3 linked regions of the Arabidopsis thaliana genome follow. The main gene of each other region encodes a partner of the protein of the gene in region 2 in a complex. Each region holds a gene or a part of one and is shown on either strand. Other genes may lie near its edges. The genes, in order: NRPB2, NRPB4 and NRPB3.

What was found.
Region 1: NRPB4 (region 2) and NRPB2 share a complex: the UniProt entries of both Arabidopsis thaliana proteins name them as parts of the RNA polymerase II complex.
Region 3: NRPB4 (region 2) and NRPB3 share a complex: the UniProt entries of both Arabidopsis thaliana proteins name them as parts of the RNA polymerase II complex.

The regions. Positions count from the first base shown.
Region 1 is NC_003075.7:11,531,062-11,543,957, reverse strand, and holds NRPB2 (DNA-directed RNA polymerase family protein), read left to right. Parts: upstream 1-1,552; 5' UTR 1,553-1,757; coding exon 1,758-2,006; intron 2,007-2,782; coding exon 2,783-3,004; intron 3,005-3,106; coding exon 3,107-3,397; intron 3,398-3,507; coding exon 3,508-3,705; intron 3,706-3,796; coding exon 3,797-3,861; intron 3,862-3,964; coding exon 3,965-4,051; intron 4,052-4,128; coding exon 4,129-4,249; intron 4,250-4,344; coding exon 4,345-4,389; intron 4,390-4,481; coding exon 4,482-4,619; intron 4,620-4,752; coding exon 4,753-4,825; intron 4,826-4,990; coding exon 4,991-5,067; intron 5,068-5,145; coding exon 5,146-5,253; intron 5,254-5,339; coding exon 5,340-5,456; intron 5,457-5,548; coding exon 5,549-5,704; intron 5,705-5,785; coding exon 5,786-5,890; intron 5,891-5,973; coding exon 5,974-6,099; intron 6,100-6,192; coding exon 6,193-6,270; intron 6,271-6,363; coding exon 6,364-6,459; intron 6,460-6,548; coding exon 6,549-6,664; intron 6,665-6,739; and 13 more. Other genes in the region: AT4G21720 (defensin-like protein), read right to left, coding at 59-162, 372-425, 1,322-1,397; AT4G21705 (Tetratricopeptide repeat (TPR)-like superfamily protein), read left to right, coding at 9,141-9,374, 9,457-10,701; AT4G21700 (DUF2921 family protein, putative (DUF2921)), read right to left, coding at 11,114-12,896. UniProt on the Arabidopsis thaliana protein: DNA-dependent RNA polymerase catalyzes the transcription of DNA into RNA using the four ribonucleoside triphosphates as substrates. Second largest component of RNA polymerase II which synthesizes mRNA precursors and many functional non-coding RNAs.
Region 2 is NC_003076.8:3,091,499-3,100,839, reverse strand, and holds NRPB4 (RNA polymerase II, Rpb4, core protein), read right to left. Parts: upstream 4,658-9,341; 5' UTR 4,565-4,657; coding exon 4,516-4,564; intron 4,338-4,515; coding exon 4,229-4,337; intron 4,089-4,228; coding exon 4,011-4,088; intron 3,863-4,010; coding exon 3,829-3,862; intron 3,734-3,828; coding exon 3,665-3,733; intron 3,548-3,664; coding exon 3,470-3,547; 3' UTR 3,198-3,469; downstream 1-3,197. Other genes in the region: ABCF2 (ABC transporter family protein), read left to right, coding at 599-1,384, 1,458-1,799, 1,869-2,009, 2,091-2,270, 2,345-2,500, 2,576-2,677, 2,767-2,895, 2,997-3,197; AT5G09910 (Ras-related small GTP-binding family protein), read right to left, coding at 5,908-6,094, 6,169-6,296, 6,388-6,441, 6,524-6,828, 6,894-7,035, 7,133-7,224, 7,475-7,568; EMB2107 (26S proteasome regulatory subunit, putative (RPN5)), read left to right, coding at 8,406-8,408, 8,501-8,695, 9,270-9,341. UniProt on the Arabidopsis thaliana protein: DNA-dependent RNA polymerase catalyzes the transcription of DNA into RNA using the four ribonucleoside triphosphates as substrates. Second largest component of RNA polymerase II which synthesizes mRNA precursors and many functional non-coding RNAs.
Region 3 is NC_003071.7:6,731,796-6,741,663, forward strand, and holds NRPB3 (DNA-directed RNA polymerase family protein), read left to right. Parts: upstream 1-1,738; 5' UTR 1,739-1,865; coding exon 1,866-2,314; intron 2,315-2,568; coding exon 2,569-2,806; coding exon of another isoform or gene 2,807-2,851; exon of another isoform or gene 2,852-2,961; coding exon of another isoform or gene 2,962-3,009; exon of another isoform or gene 3,010-3,414; coding exon 3,415-3,687; 3' UTR 3,688-4,024; downstream 4,025-9,868. UniProt on the Arabidopsis thaliana protein: DNA-dependent RNA polymerase catalyzes the transcription of DNA into RNA using the four ribonucleoside triphosphates as substrates. Component of RNA polymerase II which synthesizes mRNA precursors and many functional non-coding RNAs.

The sequences.
Region 1 (12,896 bases), on a different chromosome or scaffold from region 2:
TAGATACGGTTCAGTCCATTTCTCTTTTTTGAAGAAAAAGATTCATTGTGTGAATTACCTCAGAGTATTTGGCATCTCCAGGAGAACGATCTATAACAGCAGTCCATGGTCTGTCTTTTAGCACAGGATCTTTGTAGCAAATTTCACTGCAGTCTCCTACACCTATAGAGAGTACACTACTATTACACCAATTCATTAACTTGGAAACTTAAACCTGAAAAGCAGAAGATACTCTTCATGAACATGTAATTTCGTTATGTAGGAGACAAGCTTGGTTTTTATGATGTTCCATAGTGAGGACAAATCTAACCGCTCATCATTTCATCAACAGTTTCGTTACAGATTACAAAGAATTAAAAAGAAATGCTTACAATCTTCCCATGAGTCACTATCGGCATCACATCCCTTTTTGCAGAATACTCTCCCTACACAGATTCAGGAATTACATTAGTGCTATGGAAAAAATGTCATACAACAACATGGAGGATAAACACTGATGCTAAAGCTGAAAAAAAACCCAGATTGCTATGGAAAAAATGTCATACCAAGCATAAGTTCAGCTAGCTTTTGTGCCCATGAATGAAATTCAGAGATCAGAGAATGAAAAGCTTTCATCAGAAAGACAGAAACAGCCAAACCAAGCCCTTTAACTAGCTTAAGCATACATATATGTCAATAGTTCATAGAAGCAACATGGATACAGAAGCATCTTTGATACCGTTACTTTGACTCTCTCCCTTTAAATTTCTTTCAGTTCATAAACTACAACTTATTATCTTCCACTTTCTCCTACTAATTTAACCATTTTCTTAATTACATGATAGAAAAGCTCTAAGAACTCTGCATAATCTCCCTTACTTGTAATCAATATAAATGTTGCCGATTCTTCAATCTACATTATTCAATTACGAGTCAAGATGGATGTTCTTAAATACTTGCAACTACAACTATAAGTTGTCTCTGGACCAATCTAACCAAAGAAGCGATTCTTGACCAAAATGTTTAGTATAATCGTAATGAAGTAGAGTGCACCAACAAATAATTAGGGTTTATGAATCAAGAAATCAATCAACAATCCAATTTACAGATCCCAATTTCAATTCCAAACAACAACAAAAAGAAGAAACACTCGGAAGACTAAATTGACTTTTGAATCAAGAAATCAATCACCAATCCAAATCAGAACCCAATCTATCAGCTCCAACAACAGATTCTTATCATCATCATCGAAAACTAAACCATCAAAAAACAACGGACCACGAACATCAAAACTCAAAAACGAATCCGATTCACACAAATTAAGAGTCCAGATATTACATACATGGAAGCTGCGTAAATGCTGAGTACTTATTCGTGCATTTGCTCCCACACGGCGGCGTCCATTGCTGCGGTATCATCTCTCTCTCCCTTCCTCCGCCTTCACTCTCCGTCTCTCTCTCTCTTCTTCCGAAAATATCGCTGACGCCACAAAAATGTAGCCGGAGACTTTTCTTTATATAGTAAGGGTGTTTCCGTCATTTAACAATCCAAGCTCTCTAACAACCAAACCGATCCTTTTTATAATCCCATTTAATCAAACCGGTTATTGATACAAACCGGTTATTTCCATAAACTTAAGCCGACTTCTCTCTCTCGAGCCTTTATAAACTCACAATCTCACAAAGCCGTCTCATTCTCTGCGTCCTGTCTCTCTCTTTGTCTCCGAGAGCTCGAGTAGTGAAGTTTGCTGTGCTCTAATCTTCAGAGAGTGAGAATAAATGGAGTACAACGAATACGAACCTGAACCTCAATATGTAGAAGACGATGACGATGAGGAGATTACCCAGGAGGACGCGTGGGCTGTTATATCTGCTTATTTCGAAGAGAAAGGTCTCGTTCGTCAACAGCTGGATTCGTTTGATGAGTTTATTCAAAATACTATGCAAGAAATCGTTGATGAGTCTGCTGATATCGAGATCCGACCTGAATCTCAGCATAATCCTGGCCATCAGTCCGATTTTGCGGAGGTTGTTTCCTCGTTTTTGTTTTTTTCTAGGGTTTCTATGGGAATTCGAAATTATGTGCGGGTTTATCGTGTTTGTGGCGGTTTTAAAGTGTTTCGATTTGAGCTTCTACCGTTTGGGTGCGATTAGGGTTTACCTGAATCTTATTGATGTCCCGAGATTGTCTTGTTATTCAATGCTTGAGCTATATGCTGTTCAAGAGTCAAAAAATGATTTTGACTATTGATGTCCGGATATTGACTTTGAGCTGGTAATCTTATTAATGTCCCGAGATTATCTTTGAGTTAATGCTTGAGCTCATCTCTTTCGAGGAGGATTTATAGTATTGGTTGAAACTCAAATCAGTTTTGGCACTATAAAAATGAGTTTGGTATCTTTTTTTGCTGTCCCTTTGGTCTGTTTTCCTGCAGACAGTCTATTGTTAGCCCTTATCTGAGAAGCTTATCTCAATGATTTCCCATGATTATCTTTGTATTCGATGCTTGAGCTCTTCGCTTTTTTGAGGTGTATTTTCAGTGGTTTTGAATATTGGTTAAAGCTTAAATCAGTTTTTAAGTTTTGTTGCAATTAGGGTCTGCCTTTGTCGAGTAGCTAAGCTCATTGATTTTCCGAGATTATCTTTCCATTTAATGCTTGAGCTCTTCGCTTTTTTCAAAGTGTCCTTTCAGTGGTCTTTATTATCGGTTGAAGCTCAAATCATTTTTGACTTTGTGTGAGCTGAGATATAGCTGTTTTGCTATCTGTTTTTCTGTATGTCTGATATAGCTGTTTTCCTGCAGACAATCTACAAGATTAGCTTTGGACAGATTTATCTGAGTAAACCTATGATGACAGAGTCTGATGGAGAGACTGCCACCCTGTTCCCTAAGGCTGCAAGGTTGAGAAATCTCACATACTCTGCGCCTTTGTATGTCGATGTTACTAAGAGAGTTATTAAGAAAGGGCATGATGGTGAAGAAGTTACGGAGACACAGGATTTTACTAAAGTTTTCATTGGAAAGGTGTCCGAACTCAGTTCATTGTGTCACATTTATTTAGGTGTTTCCATGTACTCTACTGTTCTGATAGTAGAAATGTTTTCTTCTTGTTTGATTATTTGCTAGGTTCCCATCATGCTCCGGTCTAGTTACTGTACCTTGTTTCAGAACTCGGAGAAAGACCTGACAGAGCTTGGAGAATGTCCTTATGATCAGGGTGGATACTTCATTATTAATGGCAGTGAAAAGGTTCTGATTGCTCAGGAGAAGATGAGTACGAATCATGTTTATGTGTTCAAGAAAAGGCAGCCAAATAAGTATGCTTATGTTGGTGAAGTCCGTTCTATGGCTGAAAACCAAAATAGGCCTCCAAGCACAATGTTTGTGCGTATGCTTGCTCGTGCTAGTGCAAAAGGGGTAAGAGAAAGCTAATTAGTCTTAACTCTACTATATCCTTCCTCGAAATTTATTCTTTAAATTCTAGATAATGGTAAATAAATTACATTCTATGTTGCAAATGGATGCAGGGTTCATCTGGACAGTATATTCGATGTACTCTTCCATACATCAGAACAGAAATTCCTATTATCATAGTATTTCGTGCACTGGGATTTGTTGCCGATAAGGACATATTGGAACACATCTGCTATGATTTTGCCGATACCCAGATGATGGAGTTGCTCAGGCCTTCCTTGGAAGAAGCTTTCGTTATTCAAAATCAGCTGGTATCCACTTTTTTTTCACTTGGTTAATGACATTTTATTATGCTTGAGGAATTGATCTTGCAATCACTTGATAACTTTCATATTACTTCAGGTTGCACTTGACTATATTGGAAAACGTGGTGCAACTGTTGGTGTAACCAAGGAAAAAAGGATAAAGTATGTGATAATCTAAACCAATTAAGTTGGACATTATGATCTAAGATGTCAACTATTGAGATGTTCACACTGGAGGTTTGCGATTGCAATATTATCATTGCAGGTATGCTAGAGATATCCTTCAGAAAGAAATGCTTCCTCATGTAGGAATTGGGGAGCATTGCGAGACAAAGAAAGCTTACTATTTTGGGTAGGTATTTAACTCACTTGTAATGTTTATAGACTTAACATGTTTCTGTGTTGCTCATATTATGCTATGATCCGTAGGTATATCATACACCGGCTGCTGCTTTGTGCACTTGGCCGAAGGCCAGAAGATGATAGGGATCATTATGGTAACAAAAGGCTGGATCTTGCTGGTCCTTTACTTGGAGGGCTATTTAGAATGGTTTGTTCCCGGCACACAATTATACACTCTTGGGGATTGTTGAGTATCAGTGTTTTTTTTATCTCTTACTGACCTAACATCTTCTCTACATGCAGCTTTTCCGAAAGTTAACAAGGGATGTGAGATCTTATGTTCAAAAGGTATCTTACATAGTTACTCTTTCTCGAGCCAAAGACTTTAGTATTAAGTTGTTATTCTGTGTTTGGAAGTCTGATTCATGTTTCTTTGACAGTGCGTTGACAATGGCAAAGAAGTCAATCTTCAATTTGCCATTAAGGCTAAAACAATTACCTCTGGCCTGAAATATTCTCTTGCTACTGGGAACTGGGGCCAGGCAAACGCTGCTGGCACAAGAGCTGGAGTCTCTCAGGTTAGGATAATTCTATGTTAATTATGTTTTTGAGTTCCAATAATTTCTTGATGTATGTTATCGGGTTTACTGTTTTGGCCTATTATAATTCATTGCATGATTTATATGGCTCTAAAGACTTAACTAACAACAGGTTCTTAACCGGTTGACATATGCTTCGACTTTGTCACATCTGAGGCGTCTCAATTCTCCAATAGGACGTGAAGGTAAAGCCTCGTTCTTTTCCTGCACTTCTATTTTGTCTCTGTGTAACTGTTCGTACAGTTGGTGTATTTTAGTCATGGTTCTCTTTATTATCCACATCCTTGCAATTTAGATTGGCTTGTACTTTTGTTTATCCCACTTGAATCTAATCAAGTCTGATATGCCAGGAAAATTGGCAAAACCAAGACAACTGCACAACTCACAGTGGGGAATGATGTGCCCTGCTGAAACACCTGAAGGACAGGTAAAATTGTTATATTTATAAAATAAGGGTGTTTCGGATTTTATAGTTCCATTGCTCATTGTGGCTTTGCTGTACCAGGCTTGTGGTCTAGTGAAAAACTTGGCTCTCATGGTCTACATAACAGTTGGGTCAGCTGCTTATCCTATATTGGAATTTTTGGAAGAATGGGGTACTGAGAATTTTGAGGTCTGTAGCATTTCACATTCAATTTCTTACCCAACATCTGCCTCCTTGGTTCTTGTGGTTTCCTGAAGGTCTTAACTTGAATATAGGAAATATCTCCATCTGTTATACCCCAAGCCACAAAAATCTTTGTCAATGGAATGTGGGTTGGAGTTCATAGAGATCCTGACATGTTGGTGAAAACGTTGAGACGTTTGAGACGAAGGGTAAGCATGCAGTTTCTTTCACGTTTCCATATATGCTAGTGAAAATATTGCAACTTTATGCAGAAGTGACATATTACTTTTTCCTCTTGCAGGTTGATGTCAACACTGAAGTTGGTGTAGTTAGAGATATCCGTCTTAAAGAGCTCCGGATATACACTGATTATGGACGTTGTAGCCGTCCGTTGTTTATTGTAGATAATCAGAAGCTCTTAATAAAGAAGAGAGATATCTATGCTCTGCAACAAAGGGTAAAATTCTAATTTTTACCTGTTATCAAAGTATCTTTTGTTATAAATTCCATTGTACCAATATTTGTTTTCATAACCCAGGAAAGTGCAGAAGAAGATGGTTGGCATCATCTGGTTGCTAAGGGCTTTATAGAATACATAGACACAGAAGAAGAGGAAACGACCATGATTTCCATGACTATCAGTGTGAGTAATGAAATGAAGATGTGATTAAATGAGTTTGTGGTGCACTAATTTCTGCAGAAATCTTACTCTTATGTTTGTTGTAGGATCTGGTTCAAGCTAGACTCCGCCCAGAAGAGGCTTATACTGAAAACTACACACATTGTGAGATTCACCCATCTCTGATATTGGGGGTCTGTGCTTCAATCATACCATTTCCTGACCATAATCAGGTACCTCTGTCTAAATGACTTTTCTATCAGAAGCGATTTCATTATGTAAATTCAGTTTCATGCTAACTAACCCTTTACTTTTTGATGTATTAGTCACCTCGTAATACATATCAATCTGCCATGGGGAAGCAAGCAATGGGAATTTATGTCACCAACTACCAATTTCGCATGGTATGTTCTAGGCTCTTAATTTGTGGTCTTTCTTGTCAGCTCTTGTTACATCACTCAATATTTTAAAGAAATTATTATTGTTCTGTCAACCAGGATACGTTAGCTTATGTTCTCTATTATCCACAAAAGCCTTTGGTTACTACAAGAGCTATGGAGCATCTTCACTTTAGACAACTTCCAGCAGGAATTGTAAGTTATTTTTGCTAGAAGTTTTTCAGAATTCAGCATTGCTCGTGTATCAAATCTCTCAAATGTTTTTTTTTCTTCTTCTTGTGCAGAATGCTATTGTTGCCATTTCTTGCTATTCTGGATATAATCAAGAAGATTCTGTCATCATGAATCAGTCTTCAATAGATCGTGGTTTCTTTCGATCCTTGTTCTTTCGGTCTTACAGGTGAGTATGCTATACTTTTGGACGTTTGCCTTCGGTCTTTCCATTTATTTATACTGCAATCACGTTTGCTGACAGAGATGAGGAGAAAAAAATGGGGACGCTTGTCAAAGAAGACTTTGGGCGCCCAGACAGAGGAAGTACAATGGTAAGAAAGTAATTGACACATGGTTCATACTTCAGTGGTGCTTTTTGTAAGTGAAGTTTAACACTTGGGTTTCTGCTGCAGGGTATGCGACATGGTTCTTATGATAAACTGGATGATGATGGTCTTGCGCCTCCTGTAAGTTTATAATTTATTGTTCCTTAATTATTTATTATCTGATATGATTAGGTGACTAATGTTAGAAAGCATATCATACAATCTTTTATTTTTGGTATAGGGTACTAGAGTTTCAGGTGAAGATGTTATCATTGGGAAAACCACTCCAATATCTCAAGATGAGGCTCAAGGACAATCATCCCGATACACTAGACGTGATCATAGTATAAGCTTGCGACATAGTGAAACTGGAATGGTGGATCAGGTAACTTTGGCTTTTCCTTGCAGTTAAGGGTTTAGAAAGTTTCAGGATTGAAATATGAAACTGATCAATTCTTGTAACTTCGTGTAGGTGTTATTGACTACAAATGCAGATGGTTTGAGGTTTGTGAAAGTGAGGGTCAGATCCGTGCGGATTCCTCAAATTGGAGACAAATTTAGTAGTAGACACGGTCAGAAGGGAACTGTTGGCATGACCTACACGCAGGAGGATATGCCATGGACGATTGAAGGGGTCACTCCGGACATTATTGTGAATCCACATGCTATTCCGTCTCGAATGACAATTGGACAGCTAATTGAGTGCATCATGGGAAAAGTGGCAGCTCACATGGGAAAAGAAGGAGATGCTACTCCCTTTACAGATGTCACGGTAACTTGCATTTTCCTTAGCTGCTTAGTTAGCATTGGGCTTGGTATTATTAGTTTTGACCAATGTTGTGTCGTTAGGTGGATAATATAAGCAAAGCCCTTCATAAGTGTGGGTACCAAATGCGTGGATTTGAGAGAATGTACAATGGTCACACGGGCAGACCACTCACAGCTATGATATTCCTTGGACCAACATATTACCAAAGATTGAAGCATATGGTTGATGACAAGATTCACTCGCGTGGACGAGGTCCGGTGCAAATCTTAACAAGACAACCAGCTGAAGGGCGATCACGTGATGGTGGTCTCCGTTTTGGAGAAATGGAGCGCGATTGCATGATTGCACATGGTGCTGCTCACTTTTTGAAAGAGAGGCTGTTTGATCAGAGTGATGCGTATAGGGTACATGTGTGTGAAGTCTGCGGGCTCATTGCCATTGCAAATCTGAAGAAGAATTCTTTTGAATGCAGAGGTTGCAAGAACAAAACAGATATTGTTCAGGTAAACATAAACTGTTGTGCAAGTGGTTCATATTCATCTTTATCTCTTTCATGCTCATTTGTCTGATGTCATTTCATCTAAATATTCTCAGGTATACATTCCATATGCTTGCAAATTACTCTTTCAAGAGCTTATGTCAATGGCTATTGCACCAAGGATGCTCACTAAACACCTGAAATCGGCTAAAGGCAGACAGTGAGGAGCTTGCAATCTGATTTTGTAGAAACTTGAACTTTCCTTCTCTCTTGGTCATAGCTTTGTAACAATACTAAATTTACAAATTTGTGTAATATTTCTGTACTAATTCTTAAAGCTAGAAAGGTACCTTATAAGATATATTTATGGATTCTTTAGTAAATTTGCTGCTCCTAATTATTCTCATGGGGCATCCGTATGGGGATTCACTTTGTTTCCTTCTGCTTTCATCATCATTGTGCCTTATCGATGAGCTCAACATTGCGAAATCCATTCAATAGCTGTTTCAAACATTAATGATATCTTTTCTATGGTTTTCTCTATTCCTTCAATATTAGTAGCTGCAGCATATGCACTGAGACGAATACTAAGAGTAAATTGGTCAAAAGAGACTCCATTCTTCTCCATTTCAAGCATCAGATCATCTAATTTTCCATGCACATTCATCTGATTATACATATTCATCATACGATTGTAACAACGTGTGTCCATGGAAACACACGCTTCCTTCATGGCTTCCACAAGCTTCTCAGCTTACGATATTAGCAGCTAAGAAGACTAGAAAAGACCGCAATAATCTTTGGGAATGTTATCAAAGAAAACCTCTGCTTCTCCAAGTCCACAGACTCTTGATATCAAGTTTATGCGTGTACCAAAAGCTTGATAAAACATAGTTTTTTTTTTTTTTTTTCCTCAAAACATAGCTTTTATTTGAGAGTTAAAATGTTCAATAGAAAGATTCAGGTGTAAATTAGATAATAATAAAAGTTTTGAGGCTTAATATGCAATTATCATAAACTTTCAACCTTTATTTGTATTTTTTCATTTTTGTAAAGTCTCAATCTTTGACTATCTTCTTCGCCGGAACCGATGAATATACTGAGACGAATTCCGGCGAATTTGATTGCGAGCAGATATTACTACACTAACAGAGTAAAAAAGACGACACTTTACTCAAAAATCAGTCCTTTAGGAGACCCAAAATCAAGTGTTTACCCAGAACTCCAAAACTGGGTTCAATGCGGTAAAAAAGTCTCTGTTGCTGAACTTATTCGCATCGTTCACGATCTTCGTAGACGCAAACGCTTCCTCCACGCTCTCGAGGTAAGTAATTCTATACAAATCAAGTCTCTTTCCCTCTTTACACCGAGAAAAAAAACTAAACTTTAGAATTTTTCAAATTCAGGTTTCGAAATGGATGAATGAGACTGGTGTATGTGTGTTCTCTCCGACAGAACACGCGGTTCATCTTGATCTTATTGGTAGAGTTTATGGATTTGTCACTGCAGAAGAGTATTTTGAGAATCTTAAGGAACAGTATAAGAATGATAAGACTTATGGAGCTCTTTTGAATTGTTACGTTAGGCAACAGAATGTTGAGAAGTCTCTGTTGCATTTTGAGAAGATGAAGGAGATGGGTTTTGTTACTTCGTCTCTTACTTACAATAACATTATGTGTCTTTACACGAATATTGGTCAGCACGAGAAAGTTCCTAAGGTTTTGGAGGAGATGAAGGAAGAGAATGTTGCTCCGGATAACTATAGTTATAGGATATGTATTAATGCTTTTGGTGCTATGTATGATCTTGAGAGGATTGGTGGGACCTTGAGAGATATGGAGAGACGACAGGATATTACTATGGATTGGAACACTTATGCGGTTGCGGCTAAGTTTTATATTGATGGTGGTGATTGTGATAGAGCGGTTGAGCTTTTGAAGATGTCGGAGAATAGATTGGAGAAGAAAGATGGTGAAGGTTACAATCATCTCATTACGCTTTATGCTAGGTTAGGGAAGAAGATAGAGGTTTTAAGGTTATGGGATTTGGAGAAAGATGTGTGTAAAAGGAGAATAAATCAGGACTATCTTACTGTGTTGCAGTCGCTTGTGAAGATTGATGCTTTAGTTGAGGCTGAGGAAGTACTTACGGAATGGAAATCATCGGGGAACTGTTATGATTTTCGAGTGCCTAACACTGTGATTCGTGGTTACATTGGAAAAAGTATGGAGGAGAAGGCAGAAGCGATGCTTGAAGATTTAGCAAGAAGAGGGAAAGCTACTACACCAGAATCTTGGGAACTTGTGGCTACTGCTTATGCGGAAAAGGGTACTTTAGAAAATGCTTTCAAGTGTATGAAAACTGCCTTAGGTGTAGAAGTGGGTAGCAGAAAATGGAGACCTGGATTGACGCTGGTTACAAGTGTTTTGAGTTGGGTCGGGGATGAAGGAAGTTTGAAAGAAGTAGAAAGCTTTGTTGCATCTCTTAGGAATTGTATCGGTGTGAACAAACAGATGTATCATGCTCTTGTCAAGGCTGATATAAGAGAAGGCGGACGTAACATTGATACTCTGTTGCAGCGTATGAAAGATGACAAAATTGAAATCGATGAAGAAACCACAGTGATTCTCAGCACAAGAAGTCCATGCTAAAAGTTTCTTATTCTTCCTTGACGTGATGATACCAAAGATGTCTTCTGAGACAAGGATTTAGGAATGTGATTTCTTAACGGTTGAGTCTTCCTTCAGCAATACTTATTAGTACCAAATGTACCAAAATTTTATTTTGTTAAGAACACTCTCTAGACTCTGTTTTCATAGCATCTATAGAACAGTCTACAAGAGAATCCTCTGTTCTTTTTTCAAATGCAGTGTACTATCATATTGAATCAGCAGAAGGCAAAGTTAGAGCTTTGGCAATTTGGTTCCATTTTTATTGAAGTTTATATTCACTCTATAACAATTTGCTTTCCCACAAAACTGTAGATATTACACAACCTAAAACAGTTAAGAACAAGATAAATGAATTGTATGACAACAAAACTGTGTGTCTATATATGTATTGTCAAGAGTCATTGGTATTGTGTTGCTCACCAGCTTGTTGAAGCTCTACAACTTTCTCATATCCCACATATTCTCTGAATCTCTTTGGAATGAAACAACGACCACCGAATCTCTGCTGCAAGAAAATCAGAAACGCAAAGAGGAAACCGATGCAGAGGATAATAATATCCCATGCCGTAGAGTAATAATCCATTTTGTGGTTTGCATAAATGAATGACCAATCAAGAATCTTCCCGTAGCTGTGACTTCTATACAGATCATAAGCATGAGGAAGCAATCGAACAAAGCTGTTTCCAACGTAAAACAAAGCAGCAAGAGGCTTCAAGTCCGAGTTGCTGAAACCGTTGAAGAGTATTTGAGGAAGGAGGAATGCGTCAAGCATCAAACCTCCATAAGATTTTAGATCTTTCCACAAAGGAGGACGTTGAAATGAGCGTTTCAGGTTCACTGGACGGTATAAGAGATTCCGAGCTTGCGGTTTTCCTATGTATACTATTCTTTTAGGAGTTCTATTACGGTTCACTAACCAAGCAATCAATCCACCGGTGATGTAGAGAGGTAAACACACATAAGAAACCTTCTTCTCTGCTTTCCACACATCTTCACGGTGATGATGGTCTCCGGTTTTTCTAGCAGTCCAAGCTAGTTGGAGAAGACGGCACTCGAGTAAGAAAGCTATCAGTGTCACTATCCGCACCACAATTTCCTTGGCTTCGAGCCATCTGTCGTTCTCAAAGAACAAGTTTCGCTGGTTATGGCTGCCTTTAAAGAGTTCTTCAAAGTTTAACAGCAGAGGAATCATGTGACCTAATGTAATAAGTATCAGCATTGCAACGGAGATGAAAGGAAGTGCTTCCTGGTGTTGCTTCATATGGTAGAGTTGCATACCCAAGAAGAGACATGAAAGTGTATTGGAAACTAAAACCATAGCAACCTCCAAATCCATTCTCCAAACAGATTCTTTCGCTTGATGAACATAGATGGACCTCGACAAAACCTCCATACGTCCAACATAAAGCGGATCTGTCTTTTCCCGTGTGCTTTTGATGGTTCCCTTTAAACGGTCATCGCTTCTCGAATCAATTGGAGAAAAGTTAATCTTGATTGCAAGACTGCAATCCACAGTCTCGTTTTGTATAGCCACTGTGTTTTTTAGCCTAACTGATTGACATCCTACCATGCATAGCTCACCTGTATCCCTATCATATGTTCCCTCAGCGTAGATATCTCCACGAGATTCGGAATTTGGATTCAAAGAACGGATTCTATAAGTGATATTTGTAAAGCTTTTAGTGACACTGTTGACATTCATAGGGATTCCAGTTAGCCCAACCCCTTGCCCACGAACCAAAAGATCCCGATACAAACGGTCTCCCACAAAGTAAGGACTTGCACGGGCAGTTCTCAAGACATTACCTTCTCCAGAATATTTGACTGACATGACAAATCTCATGTCTGAAGTTTGAGCATCAGGGTAATGGTTTCCTTTCCTTTTGGGGCGACTCTTGCCAGCCCCGCATAACTTACCCACTCTCTCGCTTTCTGTATACTCATATCTCAGACTCGGGAAACGCCACAGTTGATCGTTTAGGCTCGAGAACTCAATTCTTCTGAAATAGCTTGGATCACTCTCTGCTTGGGCACTCCAAAGCTCCCCAACTACTGGAGCCATGCTTTTAATCGACAAGATAGCAGGAAATCTCAAACTTAACCTCAGGGAACAATCATCAACCACAGCATTACTCAAAGAATCCGAGAAATTCAAGATCCTGCACGCAACACCA
Region 2 (9,341 bases):
ATTTGTTCTTTTCGAGTTTGTGATTATCGGAGAAGATTCTAGTGATTCACTTGCACTATATAAGGTGATTTGTTTTAAGCCAAACGGTATATAAGGTAATTTAGACATTCTAACTAGGGAAATATAATATTTAGACTGATAGTTCTTTCTTAAGATCGTGACATAGATTAATTACCTTAGATATTGTACGATTTCGACATAAGTACTGTACTTTGACGCTTTTTTAATTACTTAATATAATTTAGGAATGAGTGTGACTATATTGATAAACCTAGTGTTTTGTTTTCCTTATTTGCTATCGGTGAATGATTAATGCACGAATAATAACCTAGAAACCAAAGTAATGTGCACAAACGGGTGAGACTAGTGCCCGATTTGTCAATCCGGTGACGTGGTAATCTAGAAAAATAGTGGTTATGCGGTTTGACACGTGGCAATTTATGAGCCTTGAGCTTCACATGCATACGTGTGTGTTCGTGACACTTCTTCGCTCACACGCTATAGAAGCCTCGAGAGTTAACAATCAAAACCTACATTTTCTTTAACAATCAAAATAGCTTCGTTTTAATCGTTTGATGTCTAACATTTTATACCAACAATGGTATTAACGACGAATCTCTATAGCTTAAACCTTCGTTCGACCTTCTTCTTCACTAATACTATTACTTGCCCTACACTTTTCACCTTCAAACTCTCCTCTGTTTCTAACCCTAGACGAGTATTCCCCAATATTAGAGCTCACGTTTCCGCAGCCAGCTCCAATTCAGAGCTCGAATCTCTCTTATCTACCGATCGGAAGCTGATCAGTAAGCAATCAAACAATGGTGCGTCTTCGATTTCGTCGGGAGTGAGACTTGAGAACATTAGTAAGAGCTATGAAGGCATTACGGTGCTAAAGGATGTGACTTGGGAAGTGAAGAAAGGAGAAAAAGTAGGGTTAATCGGCGTCAACGGTGCAGGGAAGACGACACAGCTCAGGATCATAACGGGTCAAGAAGAACCTGATTCAGGAAACGTGATTTGGGCCAAACCCAATTTGAAAGTTGCTTTCTTGAGTCAAGAGTTCGAGGTTTCAATGGGGAAGACAGTGAAGGAAGAGTTCATGTGTACGTTTAAGGAAGAGATGGAAATAGCGAGGAAGCTTGAGAACTTGCAGAAGGCGATTGAAGAAGCTGTTGATGATTTAGAACTAATGGGAAAGTTACTAGACGAATTCGATTTGTTGCAGAGACGAGCTCAAGAGGTTGATTTGGATTCTATCCATGCTAAAATCAGTAAGCTGATGTCGGAATTAGGGTTTGTGTCGGAGGATGCTGATAGGCTTGTGGCTTCTTTTAGCAGTGGATGGCAAATGAGAATGTCACTTGGGAAGATTTTGCTTCAGGTAGTAGTAATGAGAAATGTGATTCCTTTAACTCTGTATTGAGAGCTACGCTAATGTGTGATTCTGTGAACAGAATCCAGATTTACTGCTTTTGGATGAGCCAACGAATCATTTGGATCTTGATACTATTGAGTGGCTTGAAGGTTACTTGATTAAGCAAGATGTGCCTATGGTCATAATATCACATGACAGGGCGTTTCTTGATCAGTTGTGTACTAAAATTGTGGAAACCGAAATGGGAGTTTCGAGGACTTTCGATGGTAATTACTCTCAGTATGTAATTTCAAAGGCAGAGTTGGTTGAAGCTCAGTATGCTGCTTGGGAGAAGCAACAGAAAGAGATTGAAGCAACAAAGGATTTGATTAGTAGGCTAAGTGCTGGAGCAAATTCTGGTCGAGCTTCTTCAGCAGAAAAGGTATTAACTAGTACTTATGAAGCAGAGAATATGTATGAAACTTACTTGAATTTGTGTTTATATAAACAGAAACTGGAGAAGCTTCAGGAAGAGGAGCTAATAGAGAAGCCATTTCAGCGGAAACAAATGAAAATCCGGTTTCCGGAATGTGGATTAAGTGGAAGATCTGTAGTCACTGTTAAGAATCTTGTATTTGGTTTTGATGATAAGGTGAGATGATATAGTTAGTCAAATGCTGTTGGTAGTACATTTTATTGCTTGTGTTTTGATCTGTATTTCTGATGCAAGCAGATGTTATTTAACAAGGCGAATCTAGCTATAGAAAGAGGAGAGAAAGTCGCTATAATTGGTCCAAACGGGTGCGGAAAGAGTACATTGCTGAAACTTATTATGGGTTTGGAGAAGCCTATGAGAGGTGAGGTGATACTTGGGGAGCACAATGTATTGCCAAACTACTTCGAGCAGAATCAGGTTTGTTCTATCATGAAGAAATGGCTTTTTAGAGGAATCAGAAAATACAGTTTTACTCATTTGTTTGGCTGTAGGCAGAGGCTCAAGATTTGGATAAAACGGTGATTGAGACAGTTGTTGAAGCTGCTGTAGATTGGAGAATTGATGATATAAAAGCTCTTCTTGGTCGGTGCAACTTCAAAGCTGACATGTTGGATAGAAAGGTCTCTCTTTTGAGTGGTGGTGAGAAGGTAACATAATGTCTATCATTATCCTCAATATAATACTCATCATGTTCTTCATCGCCTTTTTTCTTGCGGTCTTAGGCACGCCTTGCTTTCTGCAAATTCATGGTGAAACCATCCACTCTACTTGTGTTGGACGAACCCACCAATCACTTAGACATACCTTCAAAAGAAATGCTTGAGGTCTCTAACCATACTCTTATCTGTTCAATAGGCCAAACTGTTCTTGGAGGTTGAGTATGATCTGATTCTCTGTTTCCTTCTTTCATCAGGAAGCTATAAATGAGTACAAAGGCACGGTCATCACAGTCTCACACGATAGATACTTCATTAAACAGATTGTTAACAGAGTTATTGAAGTCAGAGATGGTGGTTTAATGGACTATGCAGGAGACTACAATGTAATGAAATCTCTCTCAACCTAGTTTCCTCTTGTAAATAGACCTTTGCCAAATTTGTTCATTCTAGGTTGTGTTTTGAACTGTTTTGAACTGTTTCTCAGTATTTCCTGGAGAAGAATGTTGAAGCTAGAGCAAGGGAGCTGGAGAGGGAAGCAGAATTGGAAGAAAAAGCTCCAAAAGTGAAAGCAAAGTCAAAGATGTCAAAGGCTGAGAGAGAAGCACGGAAGAAGCAAAAGATGAAAGCGTTTCAAGCTTCCAAAAAGAAGTCAAAGTCCAGCAAAAATGCCAAGAGATGGAATTAAAGCTTCACAGTTCACACATAGCTGCTTTAGGTGTAGTATGTATATAGTGTCATCCCTTACTTGATTTAGTGAAAAAGAGATGGTATATTTCATTAAAAGCTTGGATCATCCGTTGTAAATTACATTCATTTAACATGAAGGTATCATTCCAGAAATTCTAGGCATTAAAGCTTTATAATTTCAGACGTGGCGAATTAACTCCAGATCAGCTAGAAGGCAAGTAAAGCATCCTGCTAAATGTTCAGAATCTTAGATCTTGAGAATCTTCTGCACTACTCGAATCTCTTGACAAGTGAGAGATCATTGAGCATCTTCTCAATAGCTTCATCATCATGAGCTCTTCCTTTTGTCTACACAAAAGAGAAGCTTACATCATCTCAAAAGTCCACTTACATAACAATACAATTTGTCCTTTTGAGGTTATCTTATTATCTCCACTGAATAGAAAAAGTAGAATCTTTATTTACCTTAAGAGAAGGAACCATTGCCACTGCTTCTTCAACAGTTTCAGGACAGAGATTGCCAAGAACACATAGCTGTTCAATAATGAACAATGCAATGTTTTAAGTCTTCTACCGAAACGACTTAATTGATAAACAAAAATCCAATCTCAAGAGATTTAACATTGTACCTCAAACTCAGTGAGTTGATGTCTGCTTAGTATTCTGCAAAAGTTGAGTTAAGGAATAGCATATTCTCACAAAACTATAGAATTAAACCAGTGACTGTAAAATCTCACTCATCAAGAAGGAAGCATGTCAAAGCAACGATTACTTAAAAACTTTGAATCAAACTAATTCAGAAAAAGGATACTCTCGAACTTGTCTAACAGCATCTGGATTCTTGTAGCGGCTGAATCGCTTCACATATTGCAAGGACTTCTCAAACACTCTGCAAGGAGCAAACATAACTTCTTCAACAATATTCAACATTGATTCACTAACCTAGAAGTAACATATAAAACTGACTAAATTCTTCAATTCATGATGGCTAATATACAATGAATCTCTATGAAACACAATTATACTTACTGAGAAACTTGATTCATAGGATCCTCTGAGATTTGCTGAAGCTGTTCAAACTTGTGCTCAAGAATCAAAGAGACTTCACAGTTCATTAAGCACTTTGCCTTCAAAAACTCTTTTGTCAAAGAGAATAAAACCCATCAATTTCGATGATAAATCTCAAATAATTAAGGGATTTTCGATACAGTTAAGCTCAATTAAATCGTATTGAATTAAGATCAATTCGATGAGGCAAAGAAACCCTAATTTTGAGGTACACAGCGGGGGATATGGCGAAGAGAATAGAGAAGTACCATCTCCGATCTTGAGTTCGGCGGCGTTCTCTTCTTCTTCTCCGGACATGGTGATTACCAAGGAGCGAAATCGAACCCTAAAGTTTTTTGGTTCTGCCTCTTTTTTTTTTTTTTCCGTCTTAACAACGAAAGTGATGAATATGAGACAAAACAAAAGCTTTGACCGGTTATATATAAAAAAAAAGAAGCAAACTCTATAATTAAAAAAGGAAAATCCAAGGAGGTTAATTAGATTTTTTTTGGGGAAGAGAGGTTAATTAGATAAATGTTACTATGTTAGTAATAGAGAAAAATTGAAATAAACCGAATAATAATCATCAAGTTTGAATAGGCAATGATTTTGATAAAGTTGGTATAAATTTTTGATTTAATAGCAAAAAAAGATCAAAATTGTTTACTACAATCATATATTCTGCAAGAAATTGAATATCATCATAACAGGATTAATTAGAAATATATTTATAATTGATGATAAATAGAGAAGAACAACAAAATTTATCATAATATAATTTGATTAAAAAAAACCCAAGTTATTTTATGATTTAACATAAATTGAGTAGTAACATAGAATTTGGAAAAATATTTGAAAAGCACAAACTGAATAACATGTGATATTAAGAACAAAACAAAATCTTCTAAAACCCACGACAAATTCTTTTCTTAATGGGTATACTACGCCTTTCTGCTTCTTCCCGACCAATCTTGCAACGAGGACAATCGCAATGCCCCTCTCGAATTTCACCTTCTTCAATCCCATCATCATTCTCTGCTTCACTCCTTGTTCTTTTTCTTGCGACTGTTTCCGGATTTTCGTTACCTTGCAGTTCTTGGATCTCTGTTTTCATAAGTGCGTTGAACATTTGAGAAAGAACCACGTCTCCTTGAAACAGATTTTGAAGAGACTTTATGAGTTCATCTCCTTGTATATGCCGGGACCTAAATTGTTTCATCAACCCCATGTATTCCTTGAGTTTCGCTTCACTTAGTCTTTCTTTGATGAACTCCGCTATATACAAAAACCAATGCTTACATACGGCTTCACTCTCAATCTTTGTTGTCTTCATCGTTTGGATACAACACTTTGTTTTTTTTCTTCTTCTTTGTCTTACAATTATGATTCGAGTGTATTTATAAGGAACTGAGTTGTTTACAATCCGATTTAGTTTGGGATTCTAAATTCTAACTGATCAAGCTTATACTTACCAACTTAAAAAAAAAAAAAAAAAAAACTTATCAAGTTTTTTTCACATGATTAAGATAATTATCACACGAATCATGTATTATTTAGAAAAAAAGAATACTTAGATTATGTTTGGAGTGTTGACAAATAAAAGAAGATAATGTTTGGAAGATTACAGGAAAATAATGTGAGATTTGATCTGTGTTTTACTTTCAGACGTTAATATCCATCCGCTTAGACCTGCCATTACCATTGCTGGTTTCCTCTACACTGGAAAGAGAGAATCTCGGAATAGCGTAATTGTAACGGTCAGGTGGTTGCTGCGGATAGAGTGTAGGAGACTGCATGAGATTGTGTTGCGGTAATGTGTTATATTTGTAAGCATCTCCTTCCCTTAGGCTGCAAAATTCAAAAGACCAAAACCCGATAAAGAAAAGAAATCCGATTTTTTTTAGGATGATAAATATATATACCTTGTTCTTTTATAGAACTGATCTTCATCACTTGTGCCCTCATCTAACCGCTGGGAAGGTGCATGGGAAAGAGACCATGCTGAAGAAGGCGACGGTAGTTCGTCTGAGAAATATCTTCTTCTTATCAACTGAAAACGAAAAACGTTCATTAGGTTGAAGAGAAAGAGAGAGAGGGAGAGAGCTATTGTAAAACATGGCAAGGTCAGAAATGACACCAACCATATGGAAAATTTTGGTCAGAGCTTCTTTGTCATATCTAGCTTCCTTGGCAGCCTGTGCATAATTTTACCAAAATTATATGACATACCGCATAACACTAAATTCAAATAAAGCAAGTAATTTAGTCTGTGGTTACCATTATGAGACCAACATTGCTAGGGAAGCTCTCAGAGAGAGGAAGTTCATCACTATGGGGAAGCAGACCCTGCTTCTCAACCCAATGACGAGCTGCATCAACAAGATTGCCACTGCTTCCATTTGTTCCTCCTTTGGCAGCAATATCAGCTTTGTTTCCAATAACGATGTATGGGACGGGAAGACCACCAGGCCCACCAGAAGAAAGGGGAGCTGAAAACTCCCCAGTTACTGAAACTTCACCCGCCCATTTCTGCAAATTAGTTTTTGTAGTCCTTTGCGAAAGATCATGAACAAAAATAACTCCTGCATAATCAAACAGTCGCATCAGTGACAAAACAGGGACAGAGATGACATTTGTTGAGACAGACCATTGATTTGTGAATAGAACAGTGAGCGGCAATCTTTGTATCGTTCATGACCTGAAACATCCCAAAGTTCGACGAAGAAATCTCTCTCTGAGTCACCTTTAATGATACTTGAAGAACTAGCAGGACTTGCGTAAGTTAAGTGCTGCACCAAAGAGAGTTCCAGAAACTAAGTAGGGAAACTTATCCCATGCTCTCTTTAACCATATCGAGAATTTTTTTTATAGAACAGCTTAAGTTACCTTGACACCAACTGTACATCCAATAGTTTGAGATGGGCGAACAATAGAGGAGCCTTTGACAATGAGATGCACAAGAGATGATTTTCCCACACCTAATTTGATATCCAGAGATAAAACTTTGCTCAATAGTGGAGAAGATGTAGTAGACTTACGAAACTTGACTCTTATTAGGTTCCACAAGTAGAAACTCATATCCAATCATCATGAGAAATCTTCTCATTAGCTCCTTCTTTAAGGATGAGTTTGTGCACTACGACAAACTTTCTTTAGTTCCATTAAATGGCTACTTAAAAAGCTAGAACCATTACCAAATCTATGGAAACGAGAATTTGTTAATATTACCTGAATCACCAACCACCAATACTCGAATTTGGCCGCATAATGGCGCTACCATATGTTCCTTATTTTCCCTGCCACGTTCCCTCCAAAACCGCATTTTGATTACTCCAGCAAAATCGGCACTGCGAAATTAAGTCCCATAGTCGCGTCTTCGACCAAAAGAGAAGCTTCCAGAAATCATCATTTCGAAACTCTGATTCCTAGCTGTAAGCAGATTATTCTAATCCATCACCTTGCACATTGCAAAACAGAGTCTCGGCTACAGTTCCTTCACCTTCCTAGTGCAAATAATCTCTAGAGCACAAATCGAAACCAATACCGAAGTTAACACAATTGATGGAGGTAAGCAGCGAATCTAAGGAATATGTAAGAGGATCAATATTCGAATTCTAAGAGCGTAATAAGAGTTTCACAGAAGTAAGATTCACCTTCTTCCTCCTTAACGTTCTTCTCCTCGATGAAAAAAATTCAGAAAAGATCTTTCCAGTAATCAAGGTAAACCATTGAATCTCGAGACAGGGAGTTCTCGATCGACATTATAGAATCTCTGGTTTCGCTACGAAAATTCGAAGATATCATGAGATTTGGGCGGAAGAACGAACGACGTGAGTTTGTTCAATCAATGGGATCGGTTCGATACTTCTGAACCAACACCATACCATATAACTAGACCGGTATTACATACCAAACCTGATTGACTCAAAACAATTAGTTAATGGCCCATTAGCAGCCCATGTAAAAAGATCCATCGGCCGAAGAATCTGAGATTTCTTGTTCAAGGGGTTGGGAACTCTGCGAATTATCTGTGCTCAGCTACTCCCAAAAGCTCTCTCATCTCTCTCGTCCGTCTCCTCTTTCTCCATAGTTTAAAGCTTCGTCGTTCCGTCACCAGAATTTCAACTACTTTGAGTTGATTCTCGTTGGATTTCTCACGATGGCGAGTCTTCAATTACTCAGATCTGATATTAAGTTTTTTTCTCGTTTTCGAAATTTTTGCATCTTCTCATTCCGTCATAGTTTGTATTTCAGGGAGACAGCGGGAAGCTTGAGGCAACGATAGATCGGCTTCTGAATGAAGAGAAGCAGATGAGACTCGCCGAAAACGTAGCCGGTACAAGGAAAGCCGCCACTGAGATTCTTCAGCTTTGTTTCGATGCTAAGGATTGGAAACTTCTGAATGAGCAGATTCTCAATCTCTCTAAGAAACGTGGTCAGCTCAAACAGGTACTTGGAATTTTGGTTATATCCTATCAGTGTTTGTGGTTTAAGCTCTTAAGGAACATGAACTTTTGGTTTGGGATAATTTGAAGGATTTGTTTAAGTTGGATATTTTGTTTGAGTTTTGAATGTGATTTGTTCCACATTTGACTTAGGAATTGCATAGGCCTAGTTTTTGGTAACCCTAATCTTGGAAAGAGATTAAGGACATTAGCACAAATTCAGGAGGATTCGACTTTGTGTTGGATACAAGCTTCTTTTTGTGGGATGTTGTCCTGTGATAGGTTGCTTTTACGATTCCTCTCTATGATTTTGATAGATTCACTGTTGACTCAAATATTAAAGCTAAATTGGGTCATTGCAGATAGTGATGTTTGTATTTAGTTCAGTTTATTACTTAACTTAGTTTGATTTTCAGTGTTTCGTTGGTTTTACTTTTGCTTTGCGTGTTTTCTTGGTCTAGTTACTTCAGACAGAATTAGCTTCACCTTTCCATGTACAAAATTATAGTTAAAAGTAAGGATACAAAGTGATAAGTCAACATCACTGATTTTTTTTTTGTGAACTTCTCCACTTGCAGGCTGTGCAATCCATGGTGCAGCAAGCAATGCAGTATATCGATCAGACACCAGACATTGAAACTCGGATAGAG
Region 3 (9,868 bases), on a different chromosome or scaffold from region 2:
GTAGACAACGTTTGGATTTCTGCAAGTGGAGTGGGTACTTATTACTCTCCAGGTATTCCTGTCCTGCATGAAGTTGTTGTCAACTGTATAGAGTCCGTCTTCCTTAATAAGTATAGTGAAAGAGCTTGTTTCAAGGAACAGTAAATGGTTGTTGTCATAAAGCGTTGTCCACTCAGCAGCATTAAGCCAACTTTGGGTTGATGCTTTAAGTACATGTGCGACATCTGGCAAATATAGCATCAAAATATATTAGATTTGTAGATATATAAATAACTATCTTAGTTTTGCTACAATGTCTTCTTCAATTAGAATTTTCCAAGCATCAGTTCTATCACAAACCTTCTCCTAGATCTCCCTAGAATCCAGATCTGCTACATTCTTAGATTTTTAAATCTTGCCTAAGTGTTACAAATTCCATAGATCTTGCATTCCCTAAATCTTGATGTTCTAAAATTTCTAAATACAATGCCTCGATTTCCCAAATTCGCCACAGTATCTCGATGATCTCCTTCAAAACTAAAAGAGTTTTTAACTAACCAAATACTCAAATACTCCTAATTTGTATTCTTAACCCTTTAACCATAGCCTAAACAATACCCAATTTTTAAAATAATAAATAAACACTTACATTGTTTTTATTGCTTTCTTTGTAAACTATGAATTTTTTTTTGTATATATATATAATTTTATATAGATTTCACTATACATATGAAGAAAATTAATCAGACACATATTATTAGTTGCACTCTCATTTTCTTGGAAGTAGGAAAAATGATATAACTTGTTTAATTGTACAAACATTACCCAATTTTTTTTATTTTATTTTTGTCGTATTGTTTTGGCCGAACCATTTTCTTCTTTTATAAAATGGGAATTTTTGCATTCTATTTTCGTAGACAAAGAGTAAATTAATCATTTGTGAGAGATAATAATAAACTTTGGATGTTCTTGTCTAGTAGCTTAAAATAAAATTGAGTATTTTTGGTTTAGATAAATGTATAAATGGTGTCTAATGTATTCTTACCATTGGATGTTTGACAAATTACACATTTCTCCATTTTCTTTAGAGTAATCAAAGGGATAAGCATTGTAAGAGTTTATAACGATGGTCCTTGTGATGATCTAAATAATGCATTAGGCAGTGCTTGTTGATTAAAGAATGATGAAATCCTTTAACACTCACATGTTAAAATATTTGTTAACATCTTGTCCTTAATATTGTTAAAGAAACTTAACTAAACTTGTTAACATTTTGATTATGGGTGTCAAAATGGGTCAAAATTTATGGGTCAACTCAATTCAACTCAACCCATGAACTCTAATGAGTTCAAAATTTTGACTCAAATGAGTTGATGGGTCAAATGAGTTGATGAGTCAATTGGTTTGATGAGTAAAATTAGTTGGGTTGTAATGGTTAATGGTACTATGAGATCATTTCAAATTTTTTGATACATGGTGTTTTCCTCCCAAATATATGACTATAATATCACTAAATACTATGAGATCTCGTAGAGTTGTTGAGTACGATAAAAGAATCTATGAAAAAAGAACTTAAATAAAGAGGTATACGTTTGACAAAAAAAAAAAGAAAAAAGAAAAAGGAAAAGGTATAAAAAAAAACATTTGAGTTGGGCTTATATGGGCCTGTTTGAAATTTGGTGACATTACTTTTCGCCAAAAGAATTAAAAAGGCCCATATAGGCCCAACTTTAAACATTACTCTAATATTTATATCTTTCTCACTTTTGCTTTATTCTGATTTCTTCTCCTATCTCCTTCTCCGGCGAAGAAATTGAAAATTCATTATCCCTAAAACCCTAATAAAGGTCCAGAGAGTCGTCAGAAACCACCGATTAGCTTTTGAAATGGACGGTGCCACATACCAAAGATTCCCAAAGATCAAGATCCGTGAGCTTAAAGATGATTACGCCAAGTTCGAGCTTCGTGAAACCGACGTTTCTATGGCCAACGCTCTCCGTCGCGTAATGATCTCCGAAGTCCCTACCGTCGCAATAGATCTAGTCGAAATCGAGGTTAATTCATCTGTACTCAACGACGAGTTCATTGCTCATCGATTAGGTCTCATTCCTCTCACTAGCGAACGTGCTATGAGCATGCGTTTCTCTCGAGATTGTGATGCTTGTGATGGAGATGGACAATGCGAGTTTTGCTCTGTTGAGTTTCGGCTTAGTTCTAAGTGTGTTACTGATCAAACCCTAGATGTTACTAGTAGGGATTTGTACAGTGCTGATCCTACTGTTACTCCTGTGGATTTCACTATTGACTCGTCTGTATCTGATTCAAGCGAGCACAAGTAAGTCCCTTTTCATCATTAGATTGTTAAATGCAGAAATGTGGTGTTTCTTTTGTCATTATGAATCGATTGGAGTTGTGAAACGTTAGAGATTAAGCAATGGTGAAACAAAATTTGCATCTTTTAGCATTCCGAGGATGAAAAATACTTCCTTTCGATGGCCCTTTGCATGACTCTTCTTGTTCGTGATTGTTTGATGTTTAATTATGGTGGTTGTGTGGGTTAAAGACTCTGTTTTTGGTTTCGGGTTTCAGGGGAATTATCATTGTGAAACTGCGTCGGGGACAAGAGTTGAAGCTTAGAGCGATAGCGAGGAAAGGGATTGGGAAAGATCATGCGAAATGGTCTCCTGCAGCTACTGTTACGTTTATGTATGAGCCTGACATAATTATTAATGAAGATATGATGGATACTTTGTCAGACGAGGAAAAGATCGACTTGATTGAGAGCAGTCCTACCAAAGTGTTTGGCATGGATCCAGTCACCAGACAGGTTAGTTTTCACGTTTTGGAAGAATGCAGCTATACAAGTTTATAGCTTTGAGACTTAAATATGATTGAACTACTTTATAGACTGCCATGCCTTGAAATATATATATGTGATGTGGTTAGTGCATTTGCTCTTTTCTGTGCTTCTCTTTCTGTTAGATAGCACTACTTAGCTCTTTAGGAGAATTACGCCAGTCATCGGAATGAATCAAATAACTGCTAAACTTCTGGTACCAAACTGAAACATCTTTCTATATCTAATCACTGCAAATTATATGAATCACTTGGAGTATCTCTGTGCCAGTTGAACTTTTGTTTGTGATTTCATGTTAGAGATTTCAAATTATTCGAATGGTAAAGGGAATAAAGAAAGGAGAAGATATAGTACTTGTAGTACCTCTGTACCAGTTGAATTTTCTTGGAGATTTCATGTTAATGGTTCAGTGTTTACTAGGACTCACCACAACTGACAATTTTCCTTTGACCCGCTAGAGAACATTGTATATCATTATAACAGTTACAGTAGTTTATCGTTGGAATTTAGTATGCCATTTCTTTTGAAGTCTGTTGCTTGAATCATCACAACTGTAATTTTTATACTTTGCTTCTTAGGTTGTAGTGGTTGATCCTGAAGCATACACTTACGATGAAGAAGTGATCAAGAAAGCTGAAGCAATGGGGAAACCGGGACTCATTGAGATCAGTCCGAAAGATGACAGTTTTATATTCACTGTTGAGTCCACAGGTGCAGTGAAGGCTTCCCAACTGGTACTAAATGCCATTGATCTTCTGAAGCAGAAGCTTGATGCAGTCCGTCTCTCAGATGACACCGTAGAAGCGGATGATCAGTTTGGTGAACTCGGTGCCCATATGCGTGGAGGATGAACTCAAGTGATTAATTCGAGCTCTTTGTTATACCTGTTTGTTTCAGGTTTTGAGTTTCTTCTGGAGCAGACTGATATTAACCGTAGTGGCACTGTCTTGTTTGATAACATGTGAAGTGGCAGTCTTCTATTTGTTCTGGACCTCTGATCCCTCTGTTCCTGAATCTTGTTAAGTTTGGTTGTTGTTAGTTGTTAGACTCGCTCGTAACGAAAATAAACGCAAGGATTAAATTCAATACATTGAACAAGTATGATTAAAATGGAACAAGTATGTAGTTTAATCTTAAAATTCGTACCATTAACTGAAATGGAATGAAAGACTTTTGCATAGTGGATACCCAATTTAAAGCTCTTAAGTTCTTGAACTTCGATCACACAATAAGTTATGGTGAGTAGCTTCCCTTGGAATGAAACAAGAGACAAAAACTCAAAAGTTTTCGAGCTAATTCATAGGTCCGAAATGATGTCATGGATCTTAGATAAGAGAATTCCGGCATTGATTACTTGGACTAATTATTAACAATCAGATTCAATCAGTAAATCTCTCAATTCTGCTTCCAAAGTGGCAGTGATGACCGCTCGTATCGCTAGTCCTTACGCCATGAGAGGGGATGCCACATTTTCACGCATTGCTGAGTGGTGAGTCGAAAGTCCAGTGGTCAAATAGGTCCAGCCACAATTTTATTTTTTAAAATTATAGGCCACCACATTTTCGTAAGAAAGTAAGTATATCTATTTAGTTGGATCAATTATGGGATCGGCACATTAAAGTTTGTGCTTTTGTGGAGATAGAAAAATTTCACAGTATTCACAAATTGAGGTACTTTTACCTAATGTCGTTTTACAGTTTCATTTTTTACAACTTTGTAAAAAAAAATTTCATTTTGTTTCTTTTTTCTTGTTCCACTATTGCAGCATCGTCTACAACATATCCCATTAATAATTTTAAATCAAACGCAATAGGAGAGATACACGTCTCCGATTAATATGCATTCGTTTCTTGGATTGGCTTTCTCTCCGTAATCAGCTCAAATTCATTGGAGAGCCGGTGAATTTTGTCGCCGTCTCTTTCTTACACGACCTCCGTGTAAACAACAATTCTCCCCGCTCACTCTTCAATTCAATTTTATCGGAGCTCAAGATTGGAGCCCTTGGGTTCCATAGATACTATCTTCTTATGGTATACATTTCTTCTATGAGAGCTTGTTTAATGGAAACCATCAACATGATTAAAAGATTTGAAGTTTCTGGAAAAAATAAAGAGAAGAAGTAAAACGATGAAGAAGAAGAAGCAAGGAGAAGAAGTCAAACATAAGGGCAAAACAGTCAATTTGCGTATATAAAAGTTCCTTTTTTACAAACAACGTGAAAGTATCCATTTTCAAATATTTTTCAGAAAAAGTACCTATATCAACAATAACCCACTATTTAGTTAGTTTGATATAAATATTTTTTTAATTAAAAATGCGTTTTTCATTATCTAGAAGAGATTTTCTTATCTTGAAAACATATTCTTTAGTAATATATAATAAGTAAAAAAAACAAATATTAAAAACAGATAATATTATTAGAAAAACATATGAAAACAAAGAAAAAACTTATTTTGATTTTCTTTTACATTAAGCATGCACATAGTTGATACTCTATGAGTATCATTAACAATTTTTTAGTATTAATTTTAATATTTATTTATTGTTTGAGATTTTTTATGATACTGGTAATAAATTTGTTTCCAATGGTGAGACCGATATTGGTATCATTAAAAAAATAAATTATTTGGAAAATCAAAAAATAAATATATAAAAACTTAGGATTATAAAATTACTGCAAAATTATATCGCATAATCACGAAGAGCCTGCAAAATTACTCACTCGCAGAAAATATAACTAGTTAGCTAAAACAATAGAAAGACTATCGGAGAGAATAATAGAATTTTTTTTTTCCAGAAAAAACCAGTTTCACAGACGAATCATGAGCCTCCACATCACCCGATACTGGGTATCAAAAGAATCATTACACTGATACGGTATTAGGCCTAAATGTCTTGTCTGATTTATTAAAAACTTATTTATGGCTCTTGATACTCTAAATGTATCACCTATGTACATGGTCTTAGTTTTTGTTACTAATATTTTGTTTCGAATTTTGAGTATTATTTTTGAAATATTACCATATAGCCAATTTTTAAAAACATGTCCTAGACCAAGACTAGTCTAAGCACGGCACTAGTCCAACCTAAACTTGCTGCTTTGATATCATTCTCCAGGATGCATCAGTTTACATTTGATATCATACTCCGGAAAGAGAAGAAGATCAAACCTTCCTGCCAGTCCAGAAGAAGGATTGATCTGCGACTTTCCGACTTGAGGTTCTTGTCACTCTTTGGCCTTCTTAACCATTTAATCATGTATTTTTTAAATGACTTGAGTTATAAAGAAGCTTTTAGATAATTTTGGGCAAATTGAGAAAAGTTTCGTGATGGTGTGAAATCTCCTTCTAGTCCACATGAAACAATGAGATTTAGATCTTTGTATGTCACTAAGAAAATCTACTAAATTAAACCATCTAAAGTCTTTCCAAAATCATTCTTTCTATAACACTAGACTTTAGAAGAATTTTTTAAATTTTATGATTTAATAACAAAAAAATTATCATTTTAACACAATCCGTTTCAAATGCTTTGATTAAATAAACCCGCACAATTTTTTTAAAAAACCATTACCAATATTTTTTCGGGATTTAAAATATAAAGAAGGGTAACAATGCAATTAAGATGTTCCAACTATCACATTAAACTCATCACTTGCAACGAGTTATTCCCTTCCATAGTTTCTTAGAGAAAAGTGGGATTAATTACGAGATCGGTACATTAAAGTGTACGCCTTTATGGATATAGGAACATCTCACTGTACTTACAAATTTAGGTACTTCTACGTTATATGATGATTGTTTTACCCTTCAATTTAATTGAGTTTCATCTCCTTGTAGTACCTCTCTCTCTCTCTCTCTCTCTCTCTCTCTCTCTCTCTCTCTCTCTCTCTCTCTCTCTCTCTCTCTCTCTCTCGGCATAGAATCTACTGCCTCTAAACTCGCCATTGATGTCCATTACTTCTCCATCGCCTTACAAAGTTCAGATCTATGGACTATGATTGGCCAATCTTCTTCCTCGACGATGAAGGTGGTAATTCTCCATAGCTTCTTTGAATTTGAATTGCTGGATCTGAATCATAATTCCATCATCTCTCGCTTTATTTTAAAAGAGGAATAAGAAACAATTGAAATTTTTAATTGATTCTAATTATATAAGATTAGAATCTTTGGGTTCCCTATATAGTTTCCCCTTAGGGTTTAGCTTTCTCCCATCAAAAAGCTTTTAACTGATTTTATTGGGTTTATTGGAATTGTATGGTGATAAAGATGTTGAGTTCGTCGGAGAAGATGGAGTGAAAATTTAGGGGCAATATCGTCTTTTCATTTGCCAAAAACTGCCTAACCTCATAAGCCTAATCATAATGTGCTCTTTAAAAATTTATGGCCCAAAATGTACCCAATATTATAAAGGGTTTATTGGCAAAGTAGACACTTTTTCAAAAATAATTTGTAAAGTAGGTAATTTTTTTTAAAATTAGAGAGATAGACACTTTTTTTGTTTTTTGTGAGATAGAGAATTTGTCTAATAGACTAAAAGACAAAATACATATCAAATACTAAAATACCCTTTATCTTGAGAGTAAATAAAAATTATATGAGAAACCATTTTTACTTTATTTTGTTTGTCTTTATCTTTTTATTTTTTTTTATTTTAGTTTTCTTAAATATTAAAAAATATATATTCTTTTTAAAAAAAAATTACATTGACTTTTAGAGTATTTATCTATCATCATTATAATGCACAAACATTTAAAACATCGTTTTGTACACTAACCATTATTCGTTGGTGTACAAGTGTGTACACCGATATTTCATAAATCATCACCGACTTCTCTTATACTTATTAATATAAGTAATATTGTTTTTAATATTTTACAAACATAATGATTGTATAAACCAAATATTATTATTCAATATAATGGTGTACATGATGGTGTACATAATTAAGTTACTCTTAATGGTGTACAAAATGATTGAAATTATTATGACGATTGGTGGATAGAATGATATATACAACTTTTAAATGATAACATACAAGATTGGTAGACAAAGTGTACAAAACTTGGTGTACACTTATAGAGAATGTATAAATCATTATTTCAATTAGTGGTGTACATCATCTCGTACACCAATGTTAGTACACTGTCTCATAGATTTTTAAAGGTGTAAGATTATATACACCATATTTTCATCATCTATGTACATCATTTTGTATACTGTTATATTCAGTGTATCATTTTCTACATCAGTAATTATATATTAATTTTTACGTTATTGTTGTATACTACCATTAGTACACCAATTTTAACAATATCACGTACACCGTCGACTGAGATTAAATAAAAAATGCTACATATTTTTGAAATATAGCAAAATTAGACTTTTTAGATTCACATAAAATTTTTAAGAACTAATATGATTATGTGGTAAATTTTTATGAAGAAATATCATCAAATAAAGTAAAAATAAAAAGTAAGATTTGATTTGAGTTTTATCTTTATCTTACTACATAACAAAATAACAAAAGGTTATATAAGTCATTTACTAAAATCTCTATTAGGCAAAAAGTTGTATTAGAGAGGAAAGAGAAAAGTGTCTATTTCTCATATGTTTAAAAAAACTACCTATTTTGCAAATTATTTGTAGAAAAAGTGTCTACTTTCCAACTTATCTCTATTATAAAAGCCCCGATCAAAGTGCAGATATCAACAAAAATAAAATTGTGGAATGGGTGTATATATTTTTGTTGCAATATCTTTTATGTAATGCATTTGCAACATCTTTTACCTATACTTCTCGTGTTTGTGTGTTTACTCTCTTTTATGTCAAGAAGTGAATGTGTCAATCTCGTAACATAAGTCTCTATTTATAATTCATCGACATCTTATTATATAGCTTTTTCTCAAGTTCAAAATTGCAAAAGAGAGGAGCATGAGAAAAAAATGTCGCGTTAACGACACCAATGTCGAGAAGTTTTCAAAATCTCAATGATGACTCTGCAATGGAACAGTTTGCTACACGCCTCTCAACAAAATAGGGTAATTTGGCATCGCAAAACTGAAACACTCTATCTTTACGAAACTACATTTTTTCTTTCACTTAAATATTTGTGAGGCCCAAATTCTCTATAGTATTCCCTTTTGGTTGTTATGTTCTTAAAGAAGAAGATAATATATCGTGTATATTAGGGTGATAGCATGATAATTTAAAAATAAATTTTCACCAAAGAGATAAACTCTGTTTTGTCAAATTTCAAGTCTAATTCCTCCTCGTGACTTGGAAGTCTTTTAAGTACACAAAGGAAAGCAAAGGGGAACGATAACTAATCCTAGAAACAAGGAACACAATTAACAAAGTGGGAATATGGAGACGTGGAGCTTGATCTCCTAAATCTAAGGAACGCACTTATCAATTCTTCTTTTCTCTTTGACCATGGTTCAATCATGGTTAAGCACTTATCATAGGGATTATAGCTTATAGGTTTGTTCCTCATATGTATGTACCGCTAAATCGTTCAACTCGTGTCATACCCAAGAAACAAATCATTACAACTTGAAAGAAACCTAGTAGGCCATAGAAGGCCCATAATACATATCTTACGTAGACGAATTATCATCTACTACATTCAAGAGCACAGGGCATAAAAAATGAACCCCCACTATCACTGTCACCGACACCTATCTCTCTCACTCACTTTCTCAGCTCCTCTCTCTTTGGTTCGTTACTTCGTTACATATGCAAACTATTCACGTGCAGCACGTGATAAAGAAAGCTAGTGGCACCTAGACTAACCTTTAAGACTTGAGCTCCGTTCTTGAGCCACGAGCCTCGTCGGAGACATCGGATCCAACAGTATATTCTTGAAGAAGGTTCTTGGGTTCTTATCTGCACGCGTTTCCATGCCCTCAATAATAATACTCAAAACTTATACGTTACTTTAGTTAGAGGTCTCCGTAGCACTTCCTTGATAAAAGGCCATTTTGATATCACCTTGTTCATAAGTTATGAATCATAACTTTAACACACATAA